Rattus norvegicus: one gene and its partner. The protein of the gene in region 1 purifies or fractionates together with the protein of each later gene. This does not show direct contact. Links are inferred from orthologs where the notes say so. Each region holds a gene or a part of one and is shown in the gene's direction. Other genes may lie near its edges. The genes, in order: Hexb and Sod1.

Evidence for each region.
Region 2: the proteins of Hexb (region 1) and Sod1 purify together in Homo sapiens (affinity purification with mass spectrometry; 3 studies listed by BioGRID and IntAct, with this or other methods). This does not show direct contact. The link is inferred for Rattus norvegicus from reciprocal best matches to the Homo sapiens genes HEXB and SOD1.

What each region holds. Positions count from the first base shown.
Region 1 is NC_086020.1:30,214,292-30,225,059, reverse strand, and holds the end of Hexb (beta-hexosaminidase subunit beta precursor), read left to right. Parts: intron 1-1,411; coding exon 1,412-1,592; intron 1,593-2,248; exon of another isoform or gene 2,249-2,278; coding exon 2,279-2,365; exon of another isoform or gene 2,366-3,663; coding exon 3,664-3,736; exon of another isoform or gene 3,737-4,917; coding exon 4,918-5,092; exon of another isoform or gene 5,093-5,446; coding exon 5,447-5,537; exon of another isoform or gene 5,538-5,682; coding exon 5,683-5,787; exon of another isoform or gene 5,788-6,193; coding exon 6,194-6,260; 3' UTR 6,261-6,452; downstream 6,453-10,768. Other genes in the region: Gfm2 (ribosome-releasing factor 2, mitochondrial), read right to left, coding at 7,097-7,234, 7,842-8,024, 10,023-10,138, 10,389-10,568. UniProt on the Homo sapiens protein: Hydrolyzes the non-reducing end N-acetyl-D-hexosamine and/or sulfated N-acetyl-D-hexosamine of glycoconjugates, such as the oligosaccharide moieties from proteins and neutral glycolipids, or from certain mucopolysaccharides.
Region 2 is NC_086029.1:42,937,849-42,949,023, forward strand, and holds Sod1 (superoxide dismutase [Cu-Zn]), read left to right. Parts: upstream 1-4,974; 5' UTR 4,975-5,067; coding exon 5,068-5,139; intron 5,140-6,934; coding exon 6,935-7,031; intron 7,032-8,527; coding exon 8,528-8,597; intron 8,598-9,285; coding exon 9,286-9,403; exon of another isoform or gene 9,404-9,405; intron 9,406-10,351; coding exon 10,352-10,459; 3' UTR 10,460-10,551; downstream 10,552-11,175. UniProt on the Homo sapiens protein: Destroys radicals which are normally produced within the cells and which are toxic to biological systems.

The sequences.
Region 1 (10,768 bases):
ACAGGTTGGAAAGGGGGTCTTTGCCTCTTAACAGTTTGGTGGTTTTGTTTTTAACTGTTGTTTGTGCAGTGGGAGCACAAGTGCTACAGATGCAATGAACTATTTTGTGTCCCTTCACCGTCACTGTCTAGGTCCTGCCTTGAGTATCACAGTTGGGTGAGGCAGAACACTGCATTATAAGTAGAGCATGGTGACTTAACTCCATGTTATTGATTGACATGCACGCTTTGGGGAGAGCACAGAATGTGCTCATAGTTCTGGCAGAGAGAACAGCGAGAGGAAAGGGATGCAGAGAGAGTATGAGTGGGAACGGCGTGGAACAAATTCTAGGAGCCACCTGTTCATGTGTGCTTCCTGATTTTGTCATTTGGAGGTGAACCTCCAGTTTCCCCATCTATAAAAGAGGGCTAACATTTCTGAGCACCAAATAAACGACAGAAAGTATACAGCATGGGACCCAGCATTTATAATTGTTAAGTACATAGTAGTATCATGGGAAACATGGGAAACAATGGGAACTGAATTGGAAAGGCATCACTGAGGTTCCTGGGGACAGTTGTGGGCTTTAGCAGCATGCCCTGGACACCAGTACAAACCTCTGAGTGGAGAAGTAACATGATTCGGGTCCCACTTAGGGAAAACCTTTGTGAAAGTAACAGATTGGAAAGAGAAGACATGGGGGTCCTACACTGGGAGGGTGAAATGGAAATGTTGCATTCAGGGAACTCAGTAACCACCGACTCAGGACTCAGGAGTTACAGTGTCGAGGCCCACAGGCAGACCAGTCAGGAAGCAGAGACAAACCGAGAGTTTGGGTTTTGTTAGATCATATTGAGAGGCAGCTATGGTTTCTATTTGTATGGAGCAGAGAATTTAACTATGCATTGGAGTTCAAGAAAAAATTTGAGAGTCGCTGGTAGTCTGTGAAGAGGATAAGCCCTCAAAGTCTGCTAAAAGCAGCAAAGGAGACCTGTGAAAGCAGCTCTTGTCTTCCTGGGGAGAAACTAAGTGAATACTGGCAAATGCGGTTGTCTTCTCTCTATAAAATTTCTATAGTGTCAACAGTATAATGTCCAGATGCTCAAGGGTTACAGTGTTTCCTGTTATAATGGAATCAGAGTAGGTCATACTCAATAGAAACTATGCTTTGATATTGATCTTTCCCAGGTTAATATTATGATTGAGGAGCCCCAGGAAGCAGACGCACACGCAGATGGCACAGTACGCTGTGCAGCTGAGTTACACTTGGATTAGTTTGTCAAATGCATTGTTTTACTATTTTTTCACCTCGCTTATGGGATTTATTGGGATTCAACACCATTGTAAGGGGAGGACCATCTATAGCATAAAGATGTGCAAATTCAGGTCTTCGTGATTGATGTTCTCATAAAAATAAATTGTTTTCTTCTAGGTCAGAAAAACCTTCTAACTCCATGTTTCATTCAAAAAATTAGAACTCAAAAGGTTGGACCTGTAGACCCAAGTCTAAATACAACATACGTATTCTTTGACACATTCTTCAAAGAAATCAGCAGGGTGTTTCCAGACCAGTTTATCCACTTGGGAGGAGATGAAGTGGAATTTGAATGTTGGTATGGTAACCCTAAACCTTTATTTTTTTTCAGTTTTCGTTCTGAAAGTATCAATATACAGGATCCACATTAAAAGGGGGTAATTTGTGGTAAAAATCCTTGTAGGGCTTTAATTACTAAAATATGTGCATTGGAGAGGAATAACAAGGTAAGGCTTAGGGAAGAAAATCAAGTAGGAGCTGGGCATGTTGGCTCATGCCTATAACCAAGGTGAAAGGCAAGCCTGAGCTATAGAGTAAGACACTGACTCAAGGGAAAAAGAAGAAGGAATCTGTAACCAGTCTTGGTGGTGCGTATTTAATCCCTCTGCTCAGGAGGATGGATGTGGAGTGTTTCGAGTTCAAGGTCAACCCCGACTATAGTGTGATTGTCTCAAGAAACCTGAAAAACTAGGATGAGATGAGTTTTGGTGGTGGAAAGGGAACAATAAGTAGGGACACAGTTTCAAGTAAGAGTTCTCAGCTTTGTAAAGTGCCTGGGATGGAGGGTGGACATGGAAGGAAAGCCTTTGGGGTTTGTTTTTTTCTAATGGGAAATCATTTCTGGAACAAATACTTTGCACTAAAAGATTCAGACTCCCTTTGAATACCTAACATTTTGTATGACTGCTGTTAGAGATGCATGCTGCTTCAAATAATCAGCTGGGCACATCAAAATGTTTATAACATCCCACTGTTTTATTTAAGGGCATCAAACCCAAACATCCAAAATTTCATGAAGAAAAAGGGCTTTGGCAACAATTTTAGAAGACTAGAATCCTTTTATATCAAAAAGTAAGTCATCTGAAAGCCTAATCACCACTGTTTTCATACAAGTCCAAGCTGCGACTTAGCTCTCTGCTTTACTTCTCATCTTCCCCACTGCTTGCAAGAGTGGAGCCAAGAACACCTAGGAGGCAGTAAGCATTTTGCAGTAACTACTGAAATAGAGGGAGAAGCCATGCGCCTGCTAGGAGCTCTGGCTGCCCTTTGTCTTTTGCACTATCCAGGGGCTGGAACTCACTCCCTTTGTCCTGAGTGACCTGGGGCATCTCTGCTCCTTACACAGTGCAGTGACATTTCCAACATTCCACAGCCAGGGAATTGGTACTGAAGTGGTGGCTGCCTTGTTAGAAAACACAGACAGACCACTTCCCAAAAGTTTGGTGGACAGTCTGTTCTCTAGGAATCAGCACATTTTTCCCCATAGGGACCAGACCACCCTTAGGCATCATGGGCCATGTGGAGTTGCAAATCTCTTTTAAAAAGAAAAAGGGAAAGCTTCGCAGCTCTACTCTGCTCCATCCATTTGGGATGCTCAGAGTTGACACCGTTCCTATTAAGCTTCTGTGTGACATTCAAGTGTTTGTTACTGCCTAAATGCTAATCTGTGCCAGCTAACAACTGACCAGTTTCCTTTCTTCCAAGAAATCTTTGGAAACCCAAGAGATTACTAGAGTTCTGTTGGGACAGTTTTATGAGTTTGAGACCCCTCCCTATTTCAGAGACAGTACCTACTACACTAGGTCCCAAAGCATGAGAGTTGCTATGTGAATTGCTACCCAGCTTTACTTGGTTCTTCTATACCAGTGGCTCTTAACCTGTTGGTTGTGACCCCTTTAAGACCATTGGAAATATCAGCTACTTACATTATGACTAATAACAGTAGCAAAATTAGTTATGAAGTAACAACAATAATAGTTTTATGGTGTGGTCACCACAACATGAGCAACTATACTAAAGGGTTGCAGCATCAGGAAGGTTGAGAACCACGGTTCTATAAAGAGGATAGGAAGGAAGTTCCGTGTTGAGGCTGTTCGCCCGAGGCGTTCCCTGAGGGACCTCTATTCATGTGTGGCAGGGTCTCACAAGTCATTCTGGGACAGTCTGAGCTTGATCAGAAGTGCAGCTACATCTGAGAAGAGTGAGTGTCTCATTAGTGGCTATGCGCACCATTAATGAGAATTCTGCTACACTGTTTAAAGAGGTACTATAAGGTATAAGGGAACATGGCATGTTCTGGGTAGAAAACACACAGGGTTTAGGAGAGCTAACCTGGTGATCCAAGTAACAGTCCACGTCTTCAATGTTAGGATTTTGGATATTATCACATCCTTAAAGAAGAGCTCCATTGTTTGGCAAGACGTTTTTGATGATCAAGTGGAGGTAAGAACCGTGACCACTCTGTGGTAGGGCTGTTTGCCATCCCAGCCTGAGGACCTGACTGGGACACCTGTTTTCAGAGTTGAATGTTCCATCAGCAGTCAGGACAGATGGACAGAGGAGGGCTGAAGGGCTCATTGTTCTCTGTTTGCTACAGACTCAAGGAGATGAACATTATCTCAGTCTCCAACAGACAGTGCAGTGCAGTGGTCAGACAGGACCAAAACTGATCAGCCATCAGCCTGCTGACATGTGTGCCTGTAAGCTGAACACTGCCAGGCGCCGGGACTTGCTAGCCTCCAGTACAGCTCCAGGTTCAGTGAGAGCCTTCCTCAGGGGAATCAGGGGCTCAGAGCAGGTGGCCAACCTACCCATGCACACGCACACACACGCTGCTGTTTCCTTCTCCCTTCTATCCCCAACCCCTGCTGTCTTACAAGTTGAAGTAATATGAATTAATTTCCTTTTTGCTTTTAAGAGCAAAACACAACAAATGAGCTTTTAAAAAATAGTGTTAGTAGTTTTAAAATATGTAAAATCAGGGCTGGAGAGATGGCTCAGTGGTTAAGAGCACTGTCTGTTCTTCCAGAGGTCCTCAATTCCCGGCAACCACATGGTGGCTCACAACCATCTGTAATGGGATCTGATGCTGTCTTTTGATGTGCAGGCATATACACAGGCAGAATGCTATATACATAATAAATAGGTAAATCAGTATACACTTTTAAGGAATATTTTTTCTTTTTTTTTTTTTTTCTTTTCTTTTTTTTTTTTTTCAGAGCTGGGGACCGAACCCAGGGCCTTGCACTTGTTAGGCAAGTGCTCTACCACTGAGCTAAATCCCCAACCCCGGAATATTTTTTCTGATAGACTTATCTCTCACAAGACCCCAGCATTACCTTTCTAGGGGGCTGGTGACAATCTCATTGTTCCAAGTTAAGTACAACATCAGTGTGGTAGAAATAGGTCTAAGGTACAAATCTTACCCGTCTCTGAGGTATTAGCTATAGACAGAAGTTAATTATTCAGCTTTAAAGGTTAATTTGAATAACACATGTCACTGACCATTAGCAAAAAGAAAAAAAGGATGTAGGATTTTTCTAAGATCTTAGAAATGTATGTTTACCAATCATGATCCCATAAACCTGTGAGACTGTATTGACTGGACCTAATGCCTTTAATAGCTTCAGCCGGGCACGGTAGTTGAAGTGTGGAAAAGTGAAAATTACTTAAATGAATTAGCACAAGTCACAGCATCCGGCTTCCCTGCCATCCTTTCTGCTCCTTGGTACTTAGACCTGATCAGCTACGGGCAAGACTGGAGAAACTACTATAAAGCGGAGCCCCTTAACTTTGAAGGTAAGCAAAGCAGACATCATGGCTGCTGGTTTCTTCCATAACTCCCGTTCTCTCCTCCTAAATCTAAGTCTTAAAATGAAGCTAATATTCCATCTTATGATTTCTGGCACACCACTAACAGGAGATGCAGGGAAAGGTTGAACGCAGTGTCCACACGAGTCTGTGTAGGACCTAGGAAAGCATCTCTACCACAAGCCCACCACAACCCTCCATTATGTTGAATAGCACTGAGCCAGGGTGGGAATAAAGGTTCTGCTGCCTACAGGAGGGTATGGAGCGGTGTGGTAGGATGACTCTAGGAAGGAAACCAGTGTTGTACAGCTTAACCTCTGTCCCTTAACCATTGTAACGCAGGTTCGGAGAAGCAGAAACAACTTGTTATTGGTGGAGAGGCTTGCCTATGGGGAGAATATGTGGATGCAACTAACCTTATTCCAAGACTATGGTAAGGCATTCAAGGGGCGCCGAGTGGCCTGAAGGCTGCCTTGGCTTTTATTATACATGTATGCAGGAGAGCTCTTGAGAATCTCCTTATATAGGTGACAAAAGAAATCTAAACTGCTTTGGGAGCCACATATTTTAAATTTCAGGCCTCGGGCAAGCGCTGTTGGTGAGAGGCTCTGGAGCCCTAGAATTATCACCAACCTGGAAAACGCCTACAGACGACTGGCAGTGCACCGCTGTAGAATGGTCAGGTGAGACACTTCCTTCCCGATCCAGGATCTCGTACTGAAGTCCAGCATTCAGTGTTAACTAGTTTCTTCAGCTTTTTGTTTTGCAATAAATAAAAATGTTACCCAGGAACTAATGATTTAATTGGTAGAAACTGCACTCATTGTTGCAGGAGAATAACCCCTGTAAGATGTATTTTAGAATAACTGCCATCTTAAAGGAGTTAGTAGCTTGGATTAGAATATTAAATCACAGGGTTGGGGATTTAGCTCAGCGGTAGAGCGCTTGCCTAGCGAGCGCAAGGCCCTGGGTTCGGTCCCCAGCTCCGAAAAAAAAGAAAAAAAAAAAAAGAATATTAAATCACTGCGAAAGGTGGGGGATTTGCTAAGGTGCCACCCATCTAAAACATCTCTGTCTATCTGTCTACAGCCGCGGAATAGCTGCACAACCTCTCTTTACTGGATATTGTAACTACGAGAATAAAATGGAAAAGTGACAGAAGTCTACAGCACTACAGCTCTAATCATGTTGATTCTGAAATCATGTAAATTAATATTTGTTAGGCTATTTTTTAAATAAACTATCTTTTTATTGATTGAATCTTTCTATATCTGAATCAAACACTGAATACTGACATCTTTTATGTGAGCAGCTTAAAAAAAATAAAAGAAAAAGCTTTGCACTACTACTCAGAACTCCAGCACTGCATGGTACTCTCATCACTGCAATGGTTAAATGAGAAATGGTGGGCCAGAAAGAAGGCTCAAGTATTTAAGAACACTTGTTCCTGCAGAGGACCAGAGTTCAGTTCTTCATAACCACACCATAATTCCAGTTTGGTGGGGGAGAGGCATAACATCTACATCTGACCTCCACAGGCACCAGGCCTCCATGTAGGCAAAAGACTCTTGGTTCCCAGGGAGCGTGCTGTTTGGGGAGTTTAGGTGGCGTAGCCTGAGGAAGTTCATCACTAGGTGAACTTGGAGAATTCACTGCCTGGCCCTACATCTAGTCTACACTCTACTCTGTGCTTGAGGTTAAAGAAGGACTATCTCAGCTTCCTGTTGAGAAAAGAAACCCTTTTATAAGCTGCCCTGACTGGGTTATTTTATCACCGCACCAGAGAGGTGAGAGACAACCAGGGCCCAGCCGTGGTGCGTTACAGCAGAGCAGGTTCAACAGTCTTAGGATGGCAGCTCCAATGCCATTCTTCCATGTCTTGTTCAAGTTCTTTCCACAGGGCGAAGCAGCAGTTTACCAGCCAGTTAATAGAACAGCATTCTCACTGAGAATGAAGCTGGCAAGTGCCCAGCTTTCCCCGTTTCCAAGGGCCTACAGCATACGGGCCAAACCACTTCTCTGGCTGAGCAGAGTCCTTTGGTCTTGTGGACTCATGGCTTGATAAGTAGACAGCTCCAAGGCAAAAGTAGCTGAGCCTGATGTCAGGGTTCGAAGCACAGTTGAATATCCCTAATGAAAAAAATTCAGTTTGTTACTGTACTTAATTTAAGCCTTCCATTTCTTACATCTTGTGGATTATCTTTTAGCCCATAGAAGAGAAGGAGGTGGTAAGTACCACCACCTCCAGAGAGGTTTTCAAAATGAAGGAAAAGGGAAATACTATGGCAAAACCTTAGCATGGGGAAGGCCAGCTGTGTACGTGTTCTGAGGCCCCTGGTGATTAACTCTGTCCTTCCTCCTTGCCTGTCAGTATCCCTCATGCCTTTCCTAGGGGCAGAAGTGCCCGGTTGGGGAAGAGAATGATGCTGGCCCCAAAACCTAGCAGAAAAGGAAAGATGCATGGAAGCAGGGTAAGACAGTTAACAGACTGACACATTTTGGCACACTGTACCTTAGTCTATGTGGTCCTGTGGTTGGAAGTAACCTGCCTGCAATGCAGTGTTCCCGAGTTCTCAGCCACCACTCAAGGCCAAGGTTTCTCATCCATGGTGGTTGAGAACTTGGTGTGCATTCTCTACACCCAAGTGTGATGCCCACAGTGTCAGTGATTCTAGCTTCACTCACACTACGTCTCCTGTAGTAAACAATGTGTACATTTCAAACGCAAATAACTCACCATAATTTCTGCTAAAGGAACAAATCCTAGAACAACTTTGTTGTCTTGGCGAGTCTGAATTTCCTGAATGTTCCCTCTTCTTTGTGCCAAATCGGCCAGGACAGGGCTGAGGTACTCTCTACTCACTGTGACCTCAAGACTCATCAGAGGTTCCAGCACCTGCTTGTCAGCTTTCTTCAGGGCCTAAAGAGATTTCATAAGATGAACAAATTTCTATTCCAGTTCAAGGAAGATGTAAACAGCCTTGAACTACTTCCTGTATTCCTGAGCAGAGGGCTCTGGGAAGCTCACTGGCTTTAACGTCCCCCAGAGAGCATCGCATAAGGAACCAAGAAGTCAGTACTTGCACTGGTGGCCGCATGCTGGAGACAGCAGGAAAGGAGAACACTTTAACAAGCCAGCAACAAAGCCAGTAGTCAAGACTGTCTACAAGCAAGTCCTTTCTTGTATTACGGTTTATAATCTTAGACTTCATACGCCACATAAGGAACCTGAGAATGTTTCAAGATATAATAATCATGTGGGGAAAAGGTAAATCTAAGAGAAAAAAATGCTACCATTAGAGACTGGACTCCCTGAACTGTCCCTCCATCCTTCTTTCTGAACAGTACCTCACTGCAGAGCTTCAAAACCAGATTCAGTGTGGCTTCAAGAGCAGTTCCAGACCTTCTCTGGGGACTCTGGTCCTGCCCTTCACTGGCCTGTGGTGGGGCAGCCTGTTTACACTCCAGTTCCCCAGTGTGCCCCAAACATGGCTCAGCTTTTCTTTTCCAAGCACTTCTCTGGCCTTTCTTATTTGCTGATGGCATTAGCAGTTTTCAGTTTGCTTATATATACTTCTCTGATTTCCTTTTCCCAGTAAACACCAGTATTCCTATGCCTGTTGCTGGTATCCTAATTCAGACATAGTCTAGTTCCTGTCTTTCCATGCCAATCACTTCTGTGCTCTGACTACACTTCACTGTTCAAAACACTTAGTCTTCATTGTTCCCAGAACACAGTCAAGCCTTCGTTGGTGCTTGAGGGTTTCACGGTCACCCCCTTTACTCTCCAGTGCTAGACTAGGGTACTCCCACACTGGGAAACAGCATGCGGGTTGATCAGCTCTGGTAGGTCACTAAGGCAAGAAGCAGAAGGCCACGTGATTCAAGGACAACTCAGGTGATAATGCCTAATACTTTGAGAGGGAAGATGCTTAGCCTAAATCTGCTGTTCAATAAGATGGATTTAGTTTTTTAATGAAAGCAATATTATTTGAACAAACTCAAAAATTTGAAATTAAGGGTTAGAGAGATGCTCAGTGGGTTAAGAGCATTGAGCTCAACTCCCAGCCACCACATGGTGGCTCACAACCATCTGTAATGGGATCTGATGCCCTCTTCTGGAGTGCAGCTGTACATAAAGATAGAGTGCTCACATATATAAAATAACCTTTAAAAATAAATTGAAATTAATATTAGATTTCCATTGTCTTTTACATTAAAGCCCAACGTTAAGCTGACGTCGTCAGATCTATCCACTTAAATCCACCAGGCTTGGAGGCTGGAAAGATGGCTTAGTGGTTAGAGTATTGGGTATTCTTCCACAGGACCTGGGAATTCAATTTCCAGTACCTACATAGCTCACACATGTCTGTTAACTCCAGTTCTAGAGCTTCTGACACCCTCATAGAGATATAGATGTAAGCAAACACCAACACACATAAGATAAATTATCTATCAAATACACACACACACACACACACACACACACACACACACACACACATATATATTTGTAGCTTGTGCTAATTGCTATATGTTTGGAAAGATCTTTTGCTAAAACCAGAATATTTTGTTTAATCTGTCTGACCGGTAATTTCTAAAATCTTTCAAAGGAAAAGGAAAATTTAGTTTTAGAAATCAAAGATTTCCTATACGAAAGCTAGTTTAAAATTTTTAAATACATTTATGTGTGTGGTGTGCGCTCATGAACACAATGCATATGTGGGGGTCAGAGGACAACTTTCTGAAGTCAGGTCTCTCTACTTTGCAGTTCCTAAGGATTAAACTCAGAATCAGGCTTGGTGGTAAGTACCTTTACCCACTGAGCCATCTGATGGCGACATAAGGTCTGTGGAATGTATGGTGCTGGACTCAGTGCACTTCCTTAGCACAGAAGCACGAGGAAAATACTCCGTACCTTCTGCACACACCGTGAGATGCAGGCAGTGACCATAGTTGTGGAGGTGCCAGGATGAATCATCAGTGAGTGTAATGTCACTGCCACATCCTGGATTGGGGAGCCAAGTAAAGGTCCTGAGTTGGGGGAAATAAAGCACAACAATATATACGGTGCAAGAACAGAGTAATGCAACAAGAATTCAACTGCAGTACAAACACAGAGAACACTGACAGGCTGTAGCACATGGACTAACTTGGAGGCTAGGAGTGTAGCGTCAAGGCAGAGTGCTCACTGGTATGCCCAAGATCCCTGGCTCAAACACCAGCATGAGGGGAAAAAGGAGGAATTAAACAGTCAACGGGAGACACAGCCGTGATCCCTCACCTTGGAGGCATGCACTATGGACGGCATTTTCAATGTCCTCCCGAGGGGCCTGCAGCAGGTCTTCACCCACAGAGTCAGCGTACTCAATCGTGGCCACACCACACGGCTCTTCTGCTGGCCGGACTTCCAGCTCTGCTCTCGCAAAATGCCGCTTGTCTCCTAGCACTCTATCAAGGGTATCTGAGGACAAACACATGGAAATGCATGAAAAATAAGGAGGTGCCTGCACACAGTGTTCAACTTTTGGCAAAAATAATGAAGAAAGCCAAAGAAAGATGCCAGGAACAAGCTGCCCCCCGGATATGGGTTGCCATTGCCAAGACTGCCTGAATCTGAGTCCACTCAGAAAAAGATAACTCAAATTGCAAAACATCCAGAGA
Region 2 (11,175 bases), on another chromosome or scaffold:
ATAAGGTTTCTCTGTGTAGCCTTGGCTGTTCTGGAATTCACTCTGTAGACCAGACTGGTCTCAAACTTAGAGATCCTCCCAACCCTGTCTCTCCAGTACTGGAATTAAAGGCATGTGCCACCACCACCACTCAGATGTTTAGTTGGTTTTTTTTTTTTTGTTTTTGTTTTTTAAAATTACATTTAAATGTATGCAGGTAGGACTAATGCCACTTTTGACTAATTTGTACTCTAGTTCTGACTGTATTTGTCCCTTAGCTTTAAAAGAGTGTAGTGAGAATATCTTGTGTATGAATGGATACATCACCTGTCAAAAAACAAAACAAAACAAAACAGAACAAAAAACCAAAAAACTAAACCCTATAGGAAGGGTTAGAATAGAAGGTGGGGCATCTGGTGGGCAGATTCAAGCACGGGGAGATTCAACCCAGACACAGAGGAAGATGGGTGCATGCAACTAAGGACCAGGTAAACACCTACATAACGGGAATGTAGAAAAAAAGGATTATTAAGTTGTGAGATAGTTGGGGGACACGCCTAGCTATGTGGCCTAGGTGTTTGTAAATATATTTGAGTTTCAGAGTCATTATTTCTGAGAGCCTGGGGCCGGGAAGAAAAACCTGTGCTTACAGAAAACTCTTTACAACAGGAGATATCAATCTCCGTGTACATTTCATCTTTGGAGTTTTGATATTGTCCTGCAGTTCGTATAAAAGAATGTTCTGGGGTTAGAGATTTAGTTCAGTGGTAGAGCGCTTGCTAGGTCCTCAGTTAGGTCCTCAGCTCCAGAAAAAAAAAAAAAAAAAAAAAAAAAAAAAAAAAAGAATGTTCTTACCAAGGGTGTTGGGACAAAGGCCTTGGTGACAATCCCTCTGTCACAGGCTTGTGATCTGCAGATTTACACAAAATCTACAAATGACTGAGAATGTTGCCCAGACAGAAACGGTTTGAGTCACAGGAGACAAGTTCTTTAGGGAAGGAGAAAGGTGAAACAAAAGGGGACTGGGAAGAACTGTCTCCACAGGAGGAGGAGGAAAACTGGAAATGTAAGCGTGAGCTCCTGGTCTGCCTCTACCCACCCCTTACTCCACAGAGTAACTCCATGCAACTCTCAGGACACACGGAAGCCTACTAAGTCAAGCCAGAATAGATCGGTAATCTAGCCATTCTGCAGGCTAAAGGAGGAACATCACAGACTAAGGGCTGCTTGGACTACAGCTCAGTTCCAGGCTGGTCTGGGCAAATCAGTAAGAAGTGAGAACAGAGCAGAGTGTGGAGCTCATGGCATGGCACCTGCCTGGCCCCCTGAGCAATCCCAGTACCACAAAAACATCTCACCACCATTCCTGAGGAAACCAGTGTCTCTGGATGGACTGCCCTTACTCTGACAATCAGACTCAAGCCACAATCCAGCGTGTAACCAACAGGGTGGGAGACTACACTGCTGTAGGACTTTGATTTCTGGAGATGACGGCTCTCAGTGGAAGCAGTCTGGAACAGGGGGAAACATTTCACGCTATCCATGCTCCTTCCTAATCCCAGATCAAAATAACTGGACTGACTAGATTAAGAGTCAGGATAGCTCGAAGCCATAGGACTTTGGAATATCAAAGTTGGGATACATTGTCTGATACATTAAACATTTAGATGACATATGCCTTCCCCCAAACCGATGTCATATGTCACAATTACATCCTAGCATCCTGCCTTAACAAATACACTTTTGCAAGTCACCAAAAGGCAAGTTCAAATTTGGAATTCTTGGACTTTGAGTTCTGGGTAGCAGAGTGTATGTAGCAGGGTAGAGCTCGCTGCTTGCTTCTGGCCTTTTCTCTTTCCTTACTCCTGGTTCTTCATCACACTGAGAGGCCTATGGCCAGCCCAGCTGTGTATCTTTAGTGACACTCTCCTTTTTGTCTGTTTAGGCCCTGGAAACCATATAGGGCAATGATTTGGGCATTAGTGTTCTAAAACAGAAGTTCTCAGGCCAGGGTTACAGATCAGTGGTAGAACCCATGGTTACTATGTACAAGGACCCAGGTCTAACCCCTAGACACCCAGCTCTGATAAAGACGACTTGGTAATGTATGGAGACATTTTCAGTTGTCACAAAATGGGACAACTTAACTTGGAGCTTGGGGGCAAAGGGAAGGATGCTTCCTGTGTGTTGTGAGAAGCAGGCGTGATGTTACAAGCATCCTGTGATGCACGGGGCCACTGCCACATTGTCTAGCCAAAGATGTCAACAGCACCAAGGTTGTAGAACACAAACACCATTAAGTATCCAACCATTAAGATTCTCAAATCCTGTTTTTGGAGGACAGGTGAGGTCCTAGGTGGAGGTACGTTTTTGGGCTTCATGGGGCAGATGCTGCCCTAGGAAGGGTACAAGACTTCTATAGCCCTGCTGGGGACCCCATTGTCCTGGAAGGCGGCCCAACTCTCTACTCCTGTGGAATGGGAAGCCCTTGCTTGGCTTTCCAGCCTCCAAACAAGATACCACTGCAGCTCAGTTTGAGCGCTTCAAGAGTAGTAATCATTGTCTGAGGGAGGCCCTTTGTACCCATGGCCTGCTTTCTCGGCAGGTTTACAATGGACTGAAATCCAACTCTCTAACTTCCTGGAACCCAAAGAAAGTCTGGCTTTGGACAAAGGCCCTTTGGCTGGGATTTGTGCTTATGTAATTCTTCCGTATGCATGCAAGTCATCTGGAGAATACTAGTGAGAATAAGGACAACCACAGATATGTAAGCCTTTTACCTTACATAGACGTATTTAACAATGGTCTAATACGGCCTTAAGTGTGATCAGTAAGGAAGCGGCAGGGTACGTATCTGAAAGATGACAAAACGTGACTGGAGTGCCTCAAGAAAAAATGTGAACTGTGTATCTCTCACAGAAGACACACCTGGGCCGGCTATGTGCCTGTTTCCTTCAGTTGGATATGTGACCATCACTGCCTAGCGAGTTGTAAGAGTGACTTCTACTCCCAGGCCCTCACAATATCCGACCAACTAACATTTACCCAGGAGGCCCTACCCTCTCTGAAGGCATGCAAGTGGTTAGCAATTGCTGAGAGATGAGGCTCTTCTGTGGTGTAGTGTCTGTGTCCACCTATGCTCCCCTAAGTAACCCAAATAAACTTGTTTATCTGCCATACTGAATTTGGGCAGAATTGTCATTTCTTCAGTTTGTTCAGTACCTTTTCTGTCTGTGGTAAATAGAAGTAAGACTCCCAGGGCTGGAGAGATGGCTCAGCGGTTAAGAACACTGACTGGTCTTCCAGAGGTCCTGGAGTTCAATTCCCAGCAACCACATGGTGGCTCACAATCATCTGTGATGGGATCCGATGCCCTCTTCTGGTGTGTCTGAAGACATATTTAAAAGAAAAGAAAGAAATAAGACTCTCCAGGATAGTCATAGAGCAGAGCCCAGGGGTCTACATAAGTAACTGTATCCCAGTGTAGCCAATCAGTTCCTCCTGTTTCTCTGGCCTAGAGTTAGGTTTCGGTATTTTGCCATCCTCAGAATTAAATCCTGCCTCCTGAGTGTAGCAGAACATGCAGTTTTATGCATGAGCTCTTGGGAGACCACAGAGATTTCAATTTTAAAAAGAGACAGTTTTCTTTTTTAGTTGAGAAACAACTTTAACGGTCCCCAGCTCCGGAAAAAAAAAAAAAAAGAAAGAAACAACTTTAAAAAGAGACAATTCTGTTTTTAGTTAAGAATTCTCTCTCTTACTGATACCCTTTCTTGGCTCCAGGGACTCCCCATATATCTTTCTAGACATTTCTGAGAACTCAAGTAAATATATGGTGATGTCTCCCCACCTTTTTTTGTAGTTTGTACCTTTTGCTCATTCCATACCGTCTTAGAAAATATCTTCCTTGAAGCACTATGTCTCACCCAGTGCATGGAGGTTTCACAAATGACTTCATCAGGCATCTTGTTCTCCAGCGCATGGCTGTCTGAGAACCACTTCAAACAGGCAAGAGGATACAGAATGTTACTATGCAAGTAACACCAGCTGGGGATGGTGGGGCAGACGAGCAATTCTAGTTATTGGGGATGCTGAGACAGGAGGATCTCAAATGGAAGTTTAGTCCCTATCTCTAAAGTTAAAAGAAAGCCAGGTACACGCCTCTAACCCCAGCAACTGGGAGGCAGAGGCAGAGGCAGGGAGAGCCCTGTGAGTTTGAGGTCAGCCTGGTCTGCATAATGAGTTCTGTGATAGCCAAAGGTATACACGGTGTGATATTTTTAAAAGGAGGTGTGTCTAACTGGCAGAGCACATGTCTGTCACGAGGGGTGTGTGTATGTCAAATCCCCAGTACCAGTAACAAAAACATTAGTGAAGAATAAGTAACGTGGTATGTGCCCAGGAATTAGAAACCTGCAGAGAGGGGTTGGGGATTTAGCTCAGTGGTAGAGCGCTTGCCTAGGAAGCGCAAGGCCCTGGGTTCGATTCCCCAGCTCCGAAAAAAAGAACCCCCCCCCAAAAAAAAAGAAACCTGCAGAGAAAAAAAAAAAACCTGCAGAGACACAGAGGTGTGTCTGGAGATAGAACATGGGCCTTACACATATTACACCGAGCATCCATCTTGGCTCACCCCAACTTTCACACAGCAACTGCGGCGCGCTGCAAAGTCAGTCGCAATCCGCATTTCTAGACAGAGCGGCTTCAGACCTTCCAGGCGCGCACGCAGGCCTCGCCGAGGTTCTCGGTTTCCGCCGCGACTCGGCCGACGTCACAGTTAGAAGACAATAGCGACTTTCCCAGCTCTGTCTCGATTCTGGAACTTTCTCAGTCCGCAAGCTCCTGAAGCTGGCGCTCCCCTCAGCCCCGCCCCCAACGTGCCCCGCGGCCAGGGAACTTCAGGAAGGGTAGGCAGAGACCGCGGCTAGCGATTGGTTCCCTGCCAAGGTGGGAGTGGCCAGGCGCAGGCATATAAAAGCTCCGCGGCGCTGGGCCCTCGTTTTGCACCTTCGTTTCCTGCGGCGGCTTCTGTCGTCTCCTTGCTTTTTGCTCTCCCAGGTTCCGAGGCCGCCGCGCGTCTCCCGGGGAAGCATGGCGATGAAGGCCGTGTGCGTGCTGAAGGGCGACGGTCCGGTGCAGGGCGTCATTCACTTCGAGCAGAAGGCAAGGCCCGGGGCGCTGGGCGCAGGCCGCGGTGACGCGGGGCACCTGTGCGGGAGCACGCCACGCCCCCGCCGCGGCCTGAGCCCGTTAAATGCTGAGTCACCGCGGCCTTGAGGCAGGGGCCGGGCGCGGGAGAGGGAGGCCGGGGCGCCGCGGGGCCTTCCGGGCGGGTCCCTCTTCGCGCCCCCGAGTGGCCGGGCCGGCCCGAGAGAGCGGGCTTGGCATCCGCTATCCCTCTGGGGCTGCTGCTTTTCCGGTGTCCCTGTCCCACAGGGGCTCAGACCCTTGTGGCCACCGGCTGCATTTGTTGTAAGAATATTTGAACCTGGTGGTGCCAAACCGGACTAACGCAGCAAGCAGAACGCATTTGTGGCATTTTAAAGCCAAGCCCTGGCTATATTAGGTCAGGGTCGTGCCGCAAGGGGGAAAGAAAAGAGATGGCCTTGGGCAGTTGTTTTGCCACCAAGAGCTCCAAGAAAGAGACCTGACTCTGGTTGTTGTCTACGACAGCGAGTCTCTGAGCACAATTTGAAAAGTATACAGAAATATTTTCGAAACTACTGCAGTTCTGCAAAAACACATGCGTCACAAGGAAGATATTTGTGTGGTTAAGAGCGTGTTCAGAGCCTTAGGGGGTTAACATTGTACTCCTTTTAATCCCGAGAGAAATATTTGATAAATGAGCGTTATGTACTCTCTAAAGTGGTTTACATAAATGTGAGGAGACCGACACCATAGTGAATCCAAGTGTTTCCTTTATGAGGAGAACTGATAACGGGAATTTAGAGTTTTTCATAACTAGTCTCAGTTTCTTGGCATTTAAATGTATTTTGTTGTTTTCCTGTGTAAATTTTTTGTTTTTGTCTTTCTCTTCTTCCCACATAATTCACTGTGAGACAGGGCTTTTCCCCCACCCTGAGAAAGCTGAAGACTAGCTAGGTCTACCCCAGTGTCCACCTTCCCAGAGCAGCTTGCAGCATTCTTTGGTGACGCTGCCCTTTGTACCCGATCAAACGATAGTTAAGCATTCCAGGTTGGCAGCTGTAACAACTTGACTATCAAAACTGTTTGATTTAAACTGTTGCCAACTTTTCAAAATCAGTTTTTTTCTACTCAAAGTTCCTAGTCCCTTATTTTGTTGAAAACGTTGGAGAGTTAAAGTAGAAAGGTCCGGTATGAGTGTCCTTGTTTGTTGCAGTTGGTTGCGTCTTGCCTTTTCTCCCTGTTGCTACAATTTCTGAAGTAATACTAAATTTGAATTTTGGATGTTCTTTTCTTTTTTGTTAAGTAGCAAATTCTCTAGATTTGGATGCCTAATGAGACTTTTTTAAAAAGTAGCTCTGGTTAGACCCAAATGGATCCCCACAGGCAGTAGGACACAATTATTTTCTGGCTACTGGATAAAATTATGGGAACTGATAAACATCACTGAATGTGGAGTAGAGGTTTCTGGGCAGCCAATGTTCTGAAAGAATCAAGCCTGACACAGTGCAGTAGCCATCCATTCCCTAGTTCTGACATTGAGCTGCCCCCTTTTGTTCCTCTGGGTGCTTTTCAAGTGCTGTTGAGTCCAGGTGTCTGCACACGTGCATCTGGAAACAAGTGTTAGGGAAGATGGGTAGGGAGGGAGAGGCCTAGAGCTAAGCAGCTCTAGAGTCACCCTGGAGGAAATGGGTCTACTTGGATTTGGACATAGGTTTGATTTTGTTTTGTTTTTTGACTTGTGCCTTTTACTGTGATTCAGAAGTATTAACACAAACTTGATGTCTTAATTTTTGTATTTTTTTAAATAAAGGCAAGCGGTGAACCAGTTGTGGTGTCAGGACAGATTACAGGATTAACTGAAGGCGAGCATGGGTTCCATGTCCATCAATATGGGGACAATACACAAGGTAAGTCTTAATCTATCTCTACCTGGCTGACTAGTGAGATGAATGGGACTGAGTCAGGACCAATTACTAACCATTTAAAACCATCAATTTTTTTCTTTTTCTTTTAGATTAAGTTAAAATAACCACTTAGGTCAACCTCGGAAAATAGCCACAAAAGTATTTTAGTTAGTATCGAGTATTTCTTGACTCCTTAAGTGGGAAGGTGAGGGTAAATTTTCTTAAATGTGATTATTATAGCTTGACTTTAATATACAGAAACAAATACGCACCTTCCTTATTTTGGATAATCCTTTGAGGTGTTTGGAGCTGGGGGTTGAGGGTGGGTGCTTTAGGCACAGTGTCTAAGGACAGCTATGCACGAGAGGCATAGTGGGACAGAAGTGACAAAAACTGAAGATTCAATATAAATGCTTAGAGTAAAATTTTTTATATTTGGGATTGGAATCAAGTCAGAAAATATAGTGGCTTACATTGCATTTAGTGAACTTTTACCATATTGGAGTAATGATCTGTGTTTGTTTATAATCTTTTAAGAGCCTCATTCATGTTGCTAGAGCCTTTTCTTCCTTTCCCTCTTCTCCCCTGCTTTCCCCTCCCCACATAGTGCATGCTAGCCTGGAATCTGTGCTGGAGCTTAAACCATTTAGTCTTAGATGTGCAGGGTTAAAGGCCATCAACCTGTGTGCAATGTACAGTAATTTGGCCTACAGTTACTTATGTTTGTGTTTGACCCATTCGGATAATTACTAAAGTTCAATCAAGTTGCTTTGCCTCTGGCCTGGTAGCTTTGGTTTGTTAAGTTCCTTCCAGAATCCTGCCCTGTACCTATTTCTTGGTCTGGGTAGAAATTGTAAACTATGTAAGTCCTATTTCCTGAGTTGTTGTTGCTGTTGAGATGTCCCTTGTGAATGATGTCCCTTAGCCCACATGTACACCTCTAATGCTGTTTACACCTGGAGTTGAGAAGCACAGCAGCCTTGACACGTGGGGATAATCTAAAAATCTGTCTGCCCCAAGTAAAAGCCAGATGGCTGAGCTGTTTGGTGGTGTAAGGTCTTGAAAGATAAGTGTTTTTATCATGATCTTAAAAGCAAAGATCTTTAAATGTGGGACTTTAACTTTAGAAGTGCCACTAAAGGTCGCTTCTGTTCCAGTAGAGGAAGGAACCAGAGCTAGACATGCTGTGACACTACCATGCTCCTGGCACTTGGAAGGCTAAGGTAGGAGGGTCATTAACTGCAGATATCATGGGCTGTGGTAGTGAGACCCTGTCTCAAATCTCAAAACAAACAAACATGACAGTCTAGTGAAAAAGCGGGTAGCTTGAAAATGCAAGGCCATATAGTCCAGCTATTTGTACCAGGGTGCTGCTTCCTGTTTGTATCACTCCAGCACATACCAGCTCCATGTTTGCTGTGTTGGAAGTTGTAAGAATTCCGATGTCATTGCATACAGAGGTTTACTTCATAATCTGACTGCTGGTTTCTGGTAAATAGGCTGTACCACTGCAGGACCTCATTTTAATCCTCACTCTAAGAAACATGGCGGTCCAGCGGATGAAGAGAGGTGAGCAGCATTCTCTCTATGCATGGTGGTGGAGAGGGGTCTGTGGAAAACACCTGAAGACAGAACTGAGTGGTCTCACTGCCTTTTCTTTTGTATGTTTCCATTCACCCAACTCCCACATCCCCAAGTACTGGAATAGTTTATATTGGGTGAAGGAGCTGACAAATGTGGACTCTTAAGTGATTTAGTTTTGTAGCATTTATTGAAGATGAACTAATACAAGTGCCAAAAGGAACCAATACAGAAAATATCATGGATAACAGTACTATCAGTCACTAGCAAAGTAAATCATTGTATAATATACTAATGCAGATAATAAAAACTAGTTGAGATTCCGTTTGTATGTGAAACCTTAGGAAAGTCCTACATTTAAAGAGGGGCTAGCTTGCTTTTGGAATGGAGGCCTGGGAGCAAACCTTTGCTAATCAGGAGCTGACATCCTTTTCGAAAGTCCTAGACTGTGGCTCTCTCCTTTAAACTGGAAGAGCTATGTGTCAAGGTATCCTGGCTACCTGTTTTGAAATTTGTGTTTCCAGACCTTTGTCTGGAAAAGCCATCATATTTGATAGTGTATGTGCACTCTTTAATCCACTCATAGCATTTGACTTCGATGTGAATTTAGCTATTGAACTCTATTGATGTGAAATAGATATCATTGCTTATCCACCTGGTGCTGTTTTAATGTTAGGCATGTTGGAGACCTGGGCAATGTGGCTGCTGGAAAGGACGGTGTGGCCAATGTGTCCATTGAAGATCGTGTGATCTCACTCTCAGGAGAGCATTCCATCATTGGCCGTACTATGGTGGTAAGTTTCCATATAGTAGTAGATGTAGGATTTCTTCTAACATAGTTATGTACCTTTCCATGACTTCGTGGTGGTGGTTAAACTAGTTCCTAAAAGATCACATAAATTGGTAAGAGTTCAGAATAGGAAAAAATATTATTTTATTGGATGTAATAGTAAAGAATTAATTTGCCTAGGTCAGTTAAGAACGCTGTTCTGCTGAAGTGCGGTAGAAAGCTGGTTACATTTGATCAGACTGGATCTGAGTTGAGGATACAATAGTCTTTAGTTTAAAACAGCTGGATTTTCTTGCCATGATTGCCCCCTTACAGTTAATCATTTCGTTGAGCTTAAAATCTGCGATGGATGTCAGTATTCAAGTCTGCAGGTTATCGCTTGGTTACCATATGGGAGCCGTCTTCCCAAGTTACCCTCGGGAGATGAATCTGGTTCATGCAGAACACCAAGTAGTAAAAGCTCTTGCCCACTTCGGGCAGCTAACTTTTCAGTAGGCACTTCCTTTCAGTTGACCCTTTATCCTTAGAATTTTCTTCAGCCCTATTGGTGAAGCAGAACAATCATTCATAAATGTTCTAAAAATAAAATTTAAAATCTTGTTGCTAAGTAAAGATATTTAGAATTGCCTCTTATGTGTAGGCCTATAGTTCACTCACCAAGAGATTTTGATAGAGAAATTTGTAAGAATGACTACTGTACAGTGGGGTGAGGGTGAGGGCTAAGATCAGCATGTGCCTGGTAGTTATTTGGGTCCTTAGTATTCATCTAGAAATAGCCACGAGCAAGGAAACACTTAGTAGTCTGCTTTTAGCTGATAGCATAAAAATTAGCTTATTGATTTACTAATAGATTTGAACATTTTCTAATATACATGGTCCTTTGAAGTATTGCTGGGAAGAAGTGCTAATTACTTGATCACCGAAACCTAAATGTTCTTAATTCTTTTCAAAGGTCCACGAGAAACAAGATGACTTGGGCAAAGGTGGAAATGAAGAAAGTACAAAGACTGGAAATGCTGGAAGCCGCTTGGCTTGTGGTGTGATTGGGATTGCCCAATAAACATTCCCTATGTGGTCTGAGTCTCAGACTCATCTGCTGTCCTGCTAAACTGTAGAAAAAAACCAAACCATTAAACTGTAATCTTAACAGTTGTTAACTGTGTGACTCCTTTGACTTGCTCTAAGGACTTGCAGTGAGAGGTGACTGACGATGTTTGGAGGATGTGTAGAACTTCCTGAATGTGTACAACTCATTGAACTAAAATCTGTTGTTTCTGTGCCAGACCTCACTGGTGTTAAGCTGAAATTCTCATTCAAGCCTCTCTCTCTCTCTGTGTGTGTCTGTGTGTGTGTGTGTGTGTGTGTGTGTGTGTGTGTGTGTGTGTGTGTGTGTGTGTGTGTGTGAGAGAGACTGAGACTTATTTAGAGCCTCGAGAGATAGAGACTTATTTCAAGCCTATTAATGTATACCAAAAAGACCTAAGCTCTATACACTGAGCATCAACAACAGACTCAATGAGGCTCTCATAGTATTTAATTTTGAAAGTGTTTCATGTGATACCATCAAAATGACGTGTGGTAGCCCAAACCGGATTTGATCTTAGAAAATTTTCTGCCCTTTGTTATCATCAGAAATTACTGAAAGCTCTCTTTAAGATTCAGAGTACCTAACCTTATTTTAAAATCGTATTAGAGTTAGAAGCCATGATTTAAGATAAAGCCCTTTAGTAAACTTGTATAAAACTCATAAAAGGCAAATAGGTAGCCTCAGCTAGC